Linked DNA regions of Cricetulus griseus. The protein of the gene in region 2 purifies or fractionates together with the protein of the main gene of each other region. This does not show direct contact. Links are inferred from orthologs where the notes say so. Each region holds a gene or a part of one and is shown on either strand. Other genes may lie near its edges.

Region 1 (4,333 bases), on a different chromosome or scaffold from region 2:
TGGCTTCAGCGGGGAATGTGAAAGATACATTTTCTAGGCTTGTGCATTCTGGACCTGGAATAAATATGACTTTGCTTTCAAATAACCACAAGGTTTTAGAAGCAGATTATTCTCGTGCTAGGCATTCTGAAGAAGTGTCCATTACACAGGGAGTCAGTACAGATGTTTTGCCTAGTTCTCCAATTCCAACTTGACCATACCCTCTAGTTCTTAGGAAACAAAGATACTGAGCTACAGGGATATTCTGACTGCCACTAGTGAGATTTAAACTGGCTTCTCCAGACCAGTTGCTAACCTCTCCAGTTGCATTATTCCGTGGTTATTTTAGAGCCAGGATGATTGGCCTCCACCTTATTTCACACACACACACACACACACACACACACACACACACACACACACACACACACACACACACACAGAAAGGCCATGACCTAGGAAGTTGTCCAAGGCAGGAATGTCTCCTCCATCAGTCTCTTTAACAAAGACATCAGCAAAAGACATGTCCCTTGTTTCTAAATTTCCCATCTCACACACTACATTTGTTTGCATTATTTCTCCTATTAGCTCTTTCTCGTTTACACCACTTTGTAGTTAAATCCCAAATCTTATACATAAGATTCATTTGGGGGAACATTTACATTTTCTTTTCTTTGTCATTGTTGGGAAATGCTAATTTGTAACGTCACAAGTTATCTCGGGGAGTTCAACAGCACAAGTGGTACTTTTCATATTCTCCGTGTACCTAAAATGAAGTCGTTAAGATGCATTGTACAAGTGTATGCTTTGCCCTGTTGGCAGTTTCCTGGCTTGGGGTGAATCAGCGCCCCGGCTAGAATCCTTAAACCTTCTGATTAGGAAAGCCCAGGCTGGCAAGTCAGAGTCTGTGCTCAAAGAGAGCTGAGAGTGAGTTTACCCAGGTTCTTCTGGGTAGTCTGGATGCAGAACAGCGTTGCTTTGAAGCGCAGCATCGCGCCTTCTGGAAAGCACGCTGTAGGAATGGGGAAGAAACTCAGAGAGAACAGTTTCGAAAATACCAGACGAGTAGGTATGGTCTTTTCTCGTTATGTCTTGAGGGCTCAAAGGTGTGGCCACTCCCCACCCCCATTGGCCTCTTTGACAGCCTTCTCTCCTTGCTGCACTGATGGATTACACTCTCCGCAAATGCTCCAGAGCCTCGAAGCCTCCAGGAAACCAACTTCCTTCCCGTCCCCAGCAATTTTTAAGTCACCTGACCCAGGGGCCCATTTTAAATCCGTTATCAAAAACAGCTACGATTCCATAACGAAAGGGGGAAGAAAAAAAAAAAAAAATGACGGGGCGACCGCGCATCCCAGAAGCGCGTTTTTCCGTCCCCTCGCCCGGCTCGCTGTGGCCCCGCCGGGCCGCCGTAGCCGGCCTCGCGCGTTCCCAGCGTGGCGAGGAGCCGCTGTCGGCGGGACTTCCGTGTTGGCGGGATTCTGAACGCTGCCATGGCTCAGACGGTGCAGAACGTTACATTGTCCCTCACTCTGCCCATCACGTGCCACATCTGCTTGGGGAAGGTAATGGGTGCGGCTAGGAGACGGGCGGGCGGCCCGAGCGGCGGCGGGAGGCCGGTCCGGGGCCCGCGGGCGGGGCGGCCCGGGGCGGGGCGGGGGGCCTGCGGGGAGCAGCGGTCCGAGCCTCCGCGGCGAGCGAGCGAGCGGGCGAGCGGCCGGGCGAGCCACGCAGCCTCCATCCTCCGTGCGGCGAGCGGCGCCGAGGAGAGCAGGCTCCCCGCCAGCCCCGGCGCCCGGCCGGCCGCCCGCAGCGATGGCTCGGGGGCCGCGGCCCCGTTCCCAGCCCTTCCTTCCCCCGTCTCACTCCCGGCTGGACGGCGGCTCTCGCCACGCGTTGAGGGTTAGAAAAGTCCTCGGTGGTAGCTGCTCCCCCTCTCCCCCCGCTCCCCTCTGTGCCGTGGAGAAGGGGAAGGAAGCCAGCGGGGTCCCGGCTCCCGCTTCAGTCCCCAGAGGCGACATGAGGTGCTCGTGGGTTCGTGAAACTCCGCGGAGAAAGTAGTTTGGTGTTAGAAACCGAGCTTTCCCTTTCATTTCCGTTTGTGCCCCCCGATTCGGTTCTTTTTTTTTAAAGAGCGTGCCTTTACCGCGTGGTCCAAGAACGGAAAAGAACTGGAACGCTCGTTCTTCTTTTTTTTCTTTTCTTTCACCTTGGGTTGTACGTAGTGTGCCCCAGAATGTAGGCTGCACTTTACAGCCCCAGGCTTAGCAGGGAAAAAAGAATTGGGTGCCAGCCAATAAGATGGCCTGCTTTTTAGGTGTTGGAAGTTCAGCGTAGATTTGCTGATTCAATAAATAAAAGCAAGTTGGGTCTGGAAGCAACTGCTAGCTAGCATCTAGACAGAGTAAAAGGCCACAAATATGGTCCATCTGCTGTGAGAAAGAATGGCCTGCTTGGTCTCTCTGAGGAGCTGAAGGATGACGTTTACAAAGGTGGCTTTTGAGCTGGCCAACTGGTAAATCTGAACTATGTTTTCTTCACACCCAAAGATGCCATCACAGTTCCATCCCTTCAAACATACATCTTTTTTTTCTTCTAAATTATTATCTCTTATCCTTGCCCCATGGTGGGAAAGCCTTTAAAAATTTTTTTAAGAACTATTCAGGCTTTGTCAATTGTGATCTATATTGTTGTTTCCTTATATCTCAGTTTCCACCGCTCAAAATGTGTTTAATTTTATCAACCCCAGTTAACTTGTTGGAAGAATTTCTGTTTGACCCTGAGGAACATTTGTGATTGTGTAGTTTCTTTTGATTGCCTCCAGGGGCAAGCCAATGGCATCTGACTGGTGGATTCCAGAGCTGCTGCTAGCTAAATTTCCTATGATATACAACACAAAAATACTTCAGTTAAGAAAAATGTTGATAGTGCCCCAAATGGGAAGCCCCTACCTGAACCAATACATAACTCCTAGTCAGCGAGCCCTCCATAGTAGGGCTATTAATGAAGAACTTTTAACACTACTCCTTCCAAATACATTTGCTATGTTAAGAAAGGGATTTCATTGGAAAGGAGATAACATGACATGATAAAAAAGGAAAAACAAGCTGTGTGTGGTGGCACATGCCTTCATCTTTAACTCGGGAGGCAGACACAGGTAGATCCCTGAGTTCAGTGCCAGCCTGGTCTACAGAGCAAGGACAACCAGGGCTAAGGAAGGAGACAGATTGTAGAGTTAATCTTTGCACCAAAGACCACCCCTTCCTGTCCATTAGTGTACAGAGCACAGTATTGTAGTTTGCTCTCTCTTCCTCTTCCTCTTCTTCACCATCTTGGAAACATTATCCTCCGATCCTCATCCTTGAACATGCATGCCCCTGAAAAGTTAGGGATTTCACGTGCCACTTATACCGTTGCCATGGTGATCAACTGTTTTTGATTGTGAAGACTGATGACCTGGGAAATTATGATCATATCCATATCTTAGAACTTTTAGACCTATGTCTGTTTTGGCTATTTTGTATAGTGGGGTTTGCGTAGAGGAACATGGGTAGACAAGAACTGAAAGAGTACTAAATGCTTCATATTTTACTACTTGGAGAAAGAATCCATTTTTAAGTTAGTGTTTGTATTAGTTACTTTTTGTTGCTGTGATAACACCAGGAACAAAAGTGACTGACTATTAGAGGAGAGAATTTATTTTGGCTTATGGCTCCAGGGGCAGAGTCTATAATGGCGGGGAGGTGTGGCACTGGGCAGCTGGAGCAGAGGGCAGGGAGACAGTGAGCCTGCTGTGAGGGTAAGCTATAAATTCTCAAGGCCTCAGCTGATGGTGCGCTTCCTCCAGCAAGGCCTCCCTGCTTAAAGGGTTCCTCCTTAATCTGCCACCAGCCTGAGTCCAAGTATTCAGTTAGCCATTCGAACCACCACATTCTACTCTCTGCTCCCCATAGGCTCCTCGCCATGTCACGACAGATGCATCTACTGCATTTTGAAGTCCTCATGGTCTTTTGCTGTCTCAACAGTGTTTAAAAGTCTAAAGTTGCTTCTAAGACTCATCAGTCTCTTAACTGTGATCCCCCCAATAAAATAAAAAAGTACGTATTTCCAACACCAGGTGGTACAGACTATACATTCCCATCCCAAAAGGGAGGAATGGGGCACAGTGAGGACATACTAGACCAAAGTCCAGGGCACAGAATCTTGTAGCTCTGTGTCCAGTGTCTGAGAGTTTACTATCAAAGGGCTTAGTTGGATCACCTCCTATCTTTGCTGCTTACAACATAAATCTGTTGCTTGGTGTGCCACTCCCTATATGCAGTTCTTGGCAGATGCCTTATAGCTTGGACATCTG
Region 2 (4,116 bases):
ACCAGGCCGAACACCAAGCAAGACTTTGGGTCTGGTTAGGAAGAGAAAAGGCCAGCACTCCGCGCACTCTCCAGGTTCTCTCCGGACCCGTATTCATTTAATTCTTGGAAGTTTGCTGCATCGGAAAGGAAGAGGTTCGTTCGCAGCTATGAGCTGGGGCAAACAATAGCAGGTCCTGTTGGTCTTTCAGAATTCGAGACCCAGAGCCCACGGCAGCGGCTGAGCTGGGTGCAGACAGAGCAACCAGCCTCCCGAATGAGCCGGGAGTGGGGAGCCCTGTGGGGCAGAGGACTTGGGGTGCGGCGTGAGTGAGGAATTGGGCGCTTCGGGGAGCGAGCGCGATCTGAAGCCCAGTTGGTGCTCTGTCCCACGGATGTGTCTAGCGGGGCTGCCATGCCGGGAGAATCACGGACGTCTAAGTTGAGACTCGAACCCAGGACCTCCAGGAAGGCGAGCCCATCCACAGGCCTGCGAGACTTGCGAAGCACCTGAGCACCTGAGGTCACGCTGCAGGTGGTCGCTCTCCCTCAGCAAAACCTCAAAGCAAACCTATATTTATACTTGAACATCACATAGAAAATAAATTGCAATAGAATATATAGATACTATGCTTTGCTTTGTTTTTTATCTGAGAAAAGGTCTCACGAAGCCAAGATGGCCTCAGACTTTATAATTAACGTTGGGTGACCCTGAACGGCCATTGCCTCCGCCTTCAGGTCTGGGATTTAAGGTGTGCTCGCTCCATCGTGCCGGGTGTATGCAGGGTTGGGGATAGAAACCCGGGTTCCACATAAGCTAAGGAAGCCCCCCGCCATCTGTGCCGCGCCCCTAGCCCCGGTAACAGGAACTTTGTTACTTACAAAATAGGTTTATCTGTATACACTGTATACTTAAAATAAATATGTATAAATGTAATTTACAAATACAAGCGTCTAGTTAAAATCTAAATTTCAGACGAGGGAGTTTTCCAGTCTAAGTTCGTGCCATGTAGCATCTGGGAACATATTTACACTGTGACTCATCTGAAGTCAGGATTTAGCCCTGCGTCCCGCGGCTCGCGCGGAGATCCTCTGTGGCGCAACGGCGCTCGGCGCCTTTAAAGCACGGGCTCGGACTCCCCGCCCCACAATGCCGCGCGGCCGCTAGGGGCTCCCATTGGCCGCAGCTCGCTTCCGCCTCCGTACTTCCGGCCGCGGCTCGCGGCGGTTGCGGGCTGTACCTCGGGGCTGTGCTGGCCCGGGCTGGCCGCGGCCATGAACTTCTCGGAGTCGTTCAAGCTTTCGGGCCTGCTTTGCAGGTTCTCCCCGGACGGCAAGTACCTGGTGAGCCGCGGCGCGCGGGGCAGAGCCCATGCGTGCGCGCGACCTGTGCCGGGGGCCCGGGGCGGGCCGAAGGGGGGCGGGAAGGGGGCCCGAGCGGGACGGCGGGCGCGGGGGGGGGGCGGCCAGGGGGACTCGAGCCAGGCGCGGTGTTGGGGAACCAGGCGGAGGGGTTTCGGGCCGGACGTGGGGGGACTAGGTACGTGATCAGGGTAGGGAAAAGGAACCTGAAGTAGGAGAGGGACCCAGGCGGGAGTAGGGGGTCCTGGCAGGTGGCCCGGGTAGGGAACGGGGGGGCGTGGAGCGGGTGGCCTGGGCAGGGCAGGGCAGGGCAGGGCAGGGGTGGAGTTGCCAGTAGGTTGATACTCCGGCTGGCAGGTGGTCAGGGGAGGGGAGGGGGACCTGGAGCAGGTGGCCCGGGCTGGGCGGATGCCAGCCTCCCTGCTCGGGTTTCCCTTTATCAAAGTTGGGTGATGCTGCTCTCACGCGCTTGAGGCACAGGGGATGCCAGCTCATTGTTATTTTGTCACAAACGGCAATGGTTTATGACCATTTTCGCTTGTAAGCTGTTTAAAATGGTGCCCTCATTTTTGGCCCTCACTACCCCTTTTCCGCCATCGCATGCAGTTATTTAAGGAACTGCCTTTCAGCCCCAATGTTGGATGTTAGCTGTACATTCTATGGGTGACAGGACGGTGTTCAAAAATACACCAATCTGACCACTGTGTACTTAGAAGGCAGACGCTTGGCATTAGGAAGTCACCAGGACAAAGGCTCATGTCTTATTAAAACTATGGTTCTGGGTCAGTGGGGTATCTTGGCCAGGAAAGGTACCTGCCACTAAAACTGATGACCTGAGTCTCGTCTCCAGGACCCAGGTAGCAGAAAGGGAGAACAGGCTCCTGCAAGTTGTCCTCTAACCTATCCATAAGCCATATCTAGTGCAGGACCCTTCCCACAAACAAATCATAATTTTTAATGAGCTTCCTTTTATGCATCTATCTTCTTTTAACGAACAGGTACCTTTAAAAAAAAAAAAACTGTTACTTTTTCAAGACAAGGTTTCTCTGTGTAGCCCTGGCTGCCCTGGAACTCATTCTGTAGATCAGATTGGCCTCAAACTTAAGATCTGCCCTCTTCTGCCTCCCCTGTGCTGGGATTAAAGGCATGGACCACCACCGCCGCCTGGCTTTCTTGGATCTTTTTGTTTGTCTGTTTTGTTTGTTGAGATAGGGTTTCTCTGTGTAGCCCTGGCTGTCCTAGAAGTCACTCTGTAGACCAGGCTGTCCTAGAACTCACAAAGATCCACCTGCCTCTGCCTCCTGAGCACTGCTGGGATTAAAGGTCTTCCATAGCACACCCGGTGCTATCTTGGTTCTTAATCCACACTCCTGGAGTATTTCTCCAAGCCTTAGGGATAGAGATTACCCTTATGTGTCATTAGAAAGTAGGAAGTGTCAGGATAGAGATGGTGTTAGCAGATAAAGATATGGCTTGGGCTCTGCAAGCGTGACAACTTGTGTTCTGGAACCTGTCTAAAAGGGAAAGGAGAGACACACACACACACACACACACACACACACACACACACACACACACACACACACACACACACACACACACACACACACACACACACACACACACACACACACACACACACACACACACACACACACACACACACACACACACACACACACACACACACACACACACACACACACACACACACACACACACACACACCCCATGTAAAGGAGGAAGGAGATTTCCCCCCCCCCCACACACACCTGGATACACTTTACCTTTTACTGCCATGCAAGCCTGACCACTTGAGTTGTGGAACCCACTTAAAGGAGAAGGAGAGAATTAACCACATTCTCACACACATACTTGCACAGTGTCTACCTTGATACATTTTTGCACAGTGTCTGCCTTGATACATTTTACCTAAGTGCCTCCACAGATTAGGGTTGCTTTACTGTTCTGAAAGTTCTAACTAACATCAAAGAGCTTTTGGTTATCTACATTTGTGTTTGGGATTGCCCACTCATCAAAATACTGTGGAACTCTTGGTAATTGTTTCTTGGGAGTCTTGCCATACTGAGCAAAGCAGCCCATGTTTCCAGTCTCAGTGTCTCTGTCAGTGGTTCATAAGGAATTCATTGTAGCTGGTAACTTTGTATTCACAGCTCACAAAGCTATAGTGTGAAAACCTGTGACAGGGCCTCCTTCTAAGCTGTGCTTGGCCTTTGTGCTCTCTCTTTTCTGCACAATACTAATTAGGCTTCCCTTAAAAAAAAATCTGCGCGTGCACGGCATGCATGTGTGTCTCCATGTTAGTGTGCAGTGGTATACGGGTGTCACAACACACAGAAGGTAGAGGACAACACAGAATATTACGCTTGACTTCCACCTTATTTGAGACAAGGTCTCTCGTTCTCCACTGCATACACCAGGCTAGCTGTCCCACAAGCTCCTGTCCCCACCTCCCCTCTGACCACAGGGACACTGGGATTATAAACAAGTGTACCCAGGTTTATGTGGCTTCTGGGGATCCAAATTTGCTTTTCCGGCTAGTGCAACTTCTTGGCTCTTGGACTTTAGTATAATATGCAAAGCTGGCCTCAGGCTTAGAAAGTAGCTGAGTACCTCCCCAGTGCTGTGATTACAGGAGTGTACCATCACACCCAAGGGGAGGCGGTGTTTTAGGATAGAGTTTCTTGCTCTGGCTGTCCAGGAACTCACTCTGCAGACCAGGGTGACTCTAAACTAAGGGATTTGCCTGTGTCTG
Region 3 (3,646 bases), on a different chromosome or scaffold from region 2:
GTCTGCTTAGACCTGACCTCTGCTACCCCAGTGCTGACGTCACAGCGTCTGCTTGGACCTGACCTCTGTTACCCCAGTGCTGACGTCACAGCGTCTGCTTAGACCTGACCTCTGCTATCCCAGTGCTGACGTCACAGCGTCTGCTTAGACCTGACCTCTGACCTGACCTCTGCTACCCCAGTGCTGACGTCACAGCGTCTGCTTAGACCTGACCTCTGCTACCCCAGTGCTGACGTCACAGCATCTGCTTAGACCTGACCTCTGCTACCCCAGTGCTGACGTCACAGCGTCTGCTTAGACCTGACCTCTGTTACCCCAGTGCCAGCTCTTCATTGCTGCTGCATTTGTCTGATTGGGGGGAGGGGGGTATAATAACTCTTCTTTCTTTTAACCTTTTGCCACCTTTCTCCTGAGAGGTATTTTTCATAGTCAAGTGTTTCAACCTTCCTGGAAATTAGTAACAAATAAAGACTATTGTATATAGATGCATGTTTGACTTAAGTTTTCATATTGTTTTCTGTGGTAACTTAATCAACATTGGTACATTTTCCTATAATTTCATGTTTTGGTCCAACAAAAAGAAAAACATGTCAGCCATAAAATGATAGGAGAATTGGGATTAACTGTTTGACTCTGTTGATAATTTCAAAAGGTTTACTTGTTGCAGCAGTCTAAACTTAGAGACAAATCGACCAGTCTCAGTCCTGCCTGTCTTCTGTGTGACACTGAGCCTGCCTCTGAGCCTGAGTTTCTTTTTTGCACAGTTTGAGAAGTAAATGTGCAGCAGCATCCAGCACAGCATTGCACAGACAGCAGCTGTCTCAGACAGCTCTGTCAGTCAGATTGGAAGAGATCTGAATTTGGGAGTTTCTGTCTTCAGTACCTTTTTACAAGATATAGATACTGGCTAATGGGTGAGAGATTGCTTGAGCCCGATAGAGCAGCCTGGGTGTAAAAGCATTGTAAGTTACTGGTCTTTCCGTCGTTCTCTTTGGGCTGTAGGTTATCTCTGATATTGAAGATGACCTTGGAGAGCTGAGCAGAGAGAGCGCGTGGGGCCTCTCCTGTGACACTGTGAGAGAGCAGCTTACAAACAGCATCAGGAGACAGTGGAGGATCTTGAAAAGTCACGTGGAAAAACTCGATAACCAAGGTAACCCCTGCTGCAGTGCAGGAGAAGTGGGCGCCATGTAAGCTGCTGCTGTCCAGTGCAGGGCTGGCTGCTCTGGGTGTCTGGTTCTGCCTGGTTTGCCCCTGGCTTTGCACTCACTGACAGAGATGCACCTGGCTCCAGAACAAGTCTTAGAGAGCAGCATTGCTCACACTTGAAGTCCCCGTGCAGCTCGGTAGTGAACTGAACAACTTGTAGCTCGAGTATGAAGGCAAGCACTCTTATATGTGTTAAAGTCTGCGTGCTTCTAAATCAGGAAAGTTGAGTTTGTGCTTTTTCAGGTTTACATTTATCATTTTAATTGTGTTTGTGTGTGCAAAGGGGCGTGTCATGTGAGTGTAGGTTTCTGTGGAGGCCAGAGGTGCTGACTCCCCGGAGCTGAAGTTAACAGGTAGTTACAAGACCCCAACATGGGTGCTAGAAATGGAGCCTGGGAGCTCTAAGGAACAGAGTGCACTTTTCACCTCTGTCATTTCTTGAGCACTAAAATTTCTGTTTAGTAAAGTCAGTTACTTAAAGTTTATTGGAGTTATCAGTACAAAGCTGTGAGTCACAAAGGACAAACAGCATAGTTCTCACAGTTGCACATTCACTTGCAGTAATTTATTTTAAATGTGTGTTCAAGACCAGCTTAAGACAATAGTGGCTTTAAAACCTGTGCCTAGTTTCTGGCTCTCATCGTGGTTTCTATTGTTTTGGTAAACACCATGACCAGAAGCATCTTGAGAGGAAAGGGTAAATTTTACTCTGTGTGTGTGTGTGTGTGTGTGTGTGTGTGTGTGTGTGTGTGTGTGTGTGTTCCATTTTTTTATTTGAATTAGAAACAAGATTGTTTTACATGACAATTCCAGTTCCCTCTCCCTTCCCTCCTCCCCTGCCCCCCCCCCAACTAAAACGCTACCTATCACAAAACCTTTCTGCGCCCCCAGGGAGAGTGAGGCCTTCCATAGGGGATCTTCAGAGTCTATCATATCCTTTGGGATAGGGCCTAGGCCCAACCCCCGTGTGTCTTGGCTAAGGGAGTATCCCTCTATGTGGAATGGGCTCCCAAATCCACACCTAAGCTAGGGATAAGTACTGATCTACTACAAGAGGTCCCGTAGATTTCCGAGGTCTCCTCACTGACACCCACGTTCAGGGGGTCTGTGTCAGTCCCATGCTGGTTTCCCAGCTATCAGTCTGGGGACCAAGAGCTCCCCGTTGTTCAGGTCAGCTGTTTCTGTGGGTTTCAGCAGCTAATCCTTTGCTCATCACTGGTTCTTTTCTGGAACTGGATTCCAGTTCATTTCAGTGATTAGTTGTGGGTGTCTGCTTCTACTTCCATCAGCTGCTGGATGAGGGCTATCAGGTGGCATATAAGTCAGTCATCAATCTCATAATCAGGGGAGGGCATTTAAGGTAGCCTCTCCTCTGTTGCTTAGATTGTTAGCTGGTGTCATCATTGTCGATCTCCAGACATTTCCCGAGTGCCTGATTTCTCTTTAAACCTAAAATATCTCCCTCTATTATGGTATCTCTTATCTTATAAGAGATAACCTGCTTTCTCATACAACTCCAGACCACTTTCTCAGTGGTGGCCCCATCATACTGAGCTGGGCCTCCCACAAGGCCAGCCTGGTCTACAACGTGAGTTCCGAGACAGCCAGGGCTATACAGAGAAACCCTACTCCAAAAACAAACAAACAAACAAACAACTCATTACTGAAGAAAATGTCTCACAAGCTTGTCTGTGGAAGCATTTTCTCAGTTGTTCTCAGTTTGGGGCCCTCTTCTTTGATGACCCTTGCTGGAGTCAGGGTGACAGCAAACTAACCCAGCACACTGGGATTCTGTCAGTTTCAAAGGTCCACTCAGAAGGCCTCAATGATGAGGACGTCATCTCACGACAGGACCATGAAGAAGAGACTGAGAAACTGGAATTGGAGATCCAGCAGTGTAAAGAGATGATCCGAGCACAGCAGCAGCTCTTACAGGTAAAGGGATGGCCTCGGGGTGTTATTGAACCTGCTAGATTTTTGCTCCTGTGTCTCCTGAGGTCTGTAGAGTTGACACCCTTTACCATCTCAGGTGAGTCATCTGAACTAGCAGTTAATGAGCTGCAGCCTTGTTCACCTGGCCCCTACTTTGCCAAGGGAAGCAGCTCTTGGGAAAGCAAGTTCTCATTGCTTCATCGTGTATGTCCTTGGCCAAGCTCTGACCCATCTTCCCTGCGTTCACTGGAGTGTGAGTAAGCTGTCTGGGTTTCCTGACTTACTGTGTTTTAAACCTTAATAGCAGCAGCTGGCCACGACATGTGATGATGACACAACCTCACTGCTTCGAGACTGTTACTTGCTGGAAGAAAAGGAACGCCTTAAAGAAGAGTGGTCCCTTTTTAAAGAGCAAAAAAAGAATTTTGAGAGAGAAAGACGCAGCTTTACAGAAGCTGCGATCCGCTTGGGGCTGGAGGTGAGCTCTGCAGTGCTGCAGCCCCGA

The links.
Region 1: the proteins of Wrap73 (region 2) and Obi1 purify together in Homo sapiens (affinity purification with mass spectrometry; 3 studies listed by BioGRID and IntAct, counting the BioPlex papers as one, with this or other methods). This does not show direct contact. The link is inferred for Cricetulus griseus from reciprocal best matches to the Homo sapiens genes WRAP73 and OBI1.
Region 3: the proteins of Wrap73 (region 2) and Ssx2ip purify together in Homo sapiens (co-immunoprecipitation; 4 studies listed by BioGRID and IntAct, counting the BioPlex papers as one, with this or other methods). This does not show direct contact. The link is inferred for Cricetulus griseus from reciprocal best matches to the Homo sapiens genes WRAP73 and SSX2IP.

Annotation. Positions count from the first base shown.
Region 1 is NW_023276807.1:256,066,014-256,070,346, reverse strand, and holds the start of Obi1 (ORC ubiquitin ligase 1), read left to right. Parts: upstream 1-1,387; 5' UTR 1,388-1,472; coding exon 1,473-1,544; intron 1,545-4,333. UniProt on the Homo sapiens protein: E3 ubiquitin ligase essential for DNA replication origin activation during S phase.
Region 2 is NC_048595.1:2,161,290-2,165,405, reverse strand, and holds the start of Wrap73 (WD repeat-containing protein WRAP73), read left to right. Parts: upstream 1-1,189; 5' UTR 1,190-1,253; coding exon 1,254-1,322; intron 1,323-4,116.
Region 3 is NW_023276806.1:12,736,842-12,740,487, reverse strand, and holds part of Ssx2ip (afadin- and alpha-actinin-binding protein), read left to right. Parts: intron 1-1,002; coding exon 1,003-1,153; intron 1,154-3,007; coding exon 3,008-3,144; intron 3,145-3,445; coding exon 3,446-3,619; intron 3,620-3,646. UniProt on the Homo sapiens protein: Belongs to an adhesion system, which plays a role in the organization of homotypic, interneuronal and heterotypic cell-cell adherens junctions (AJs).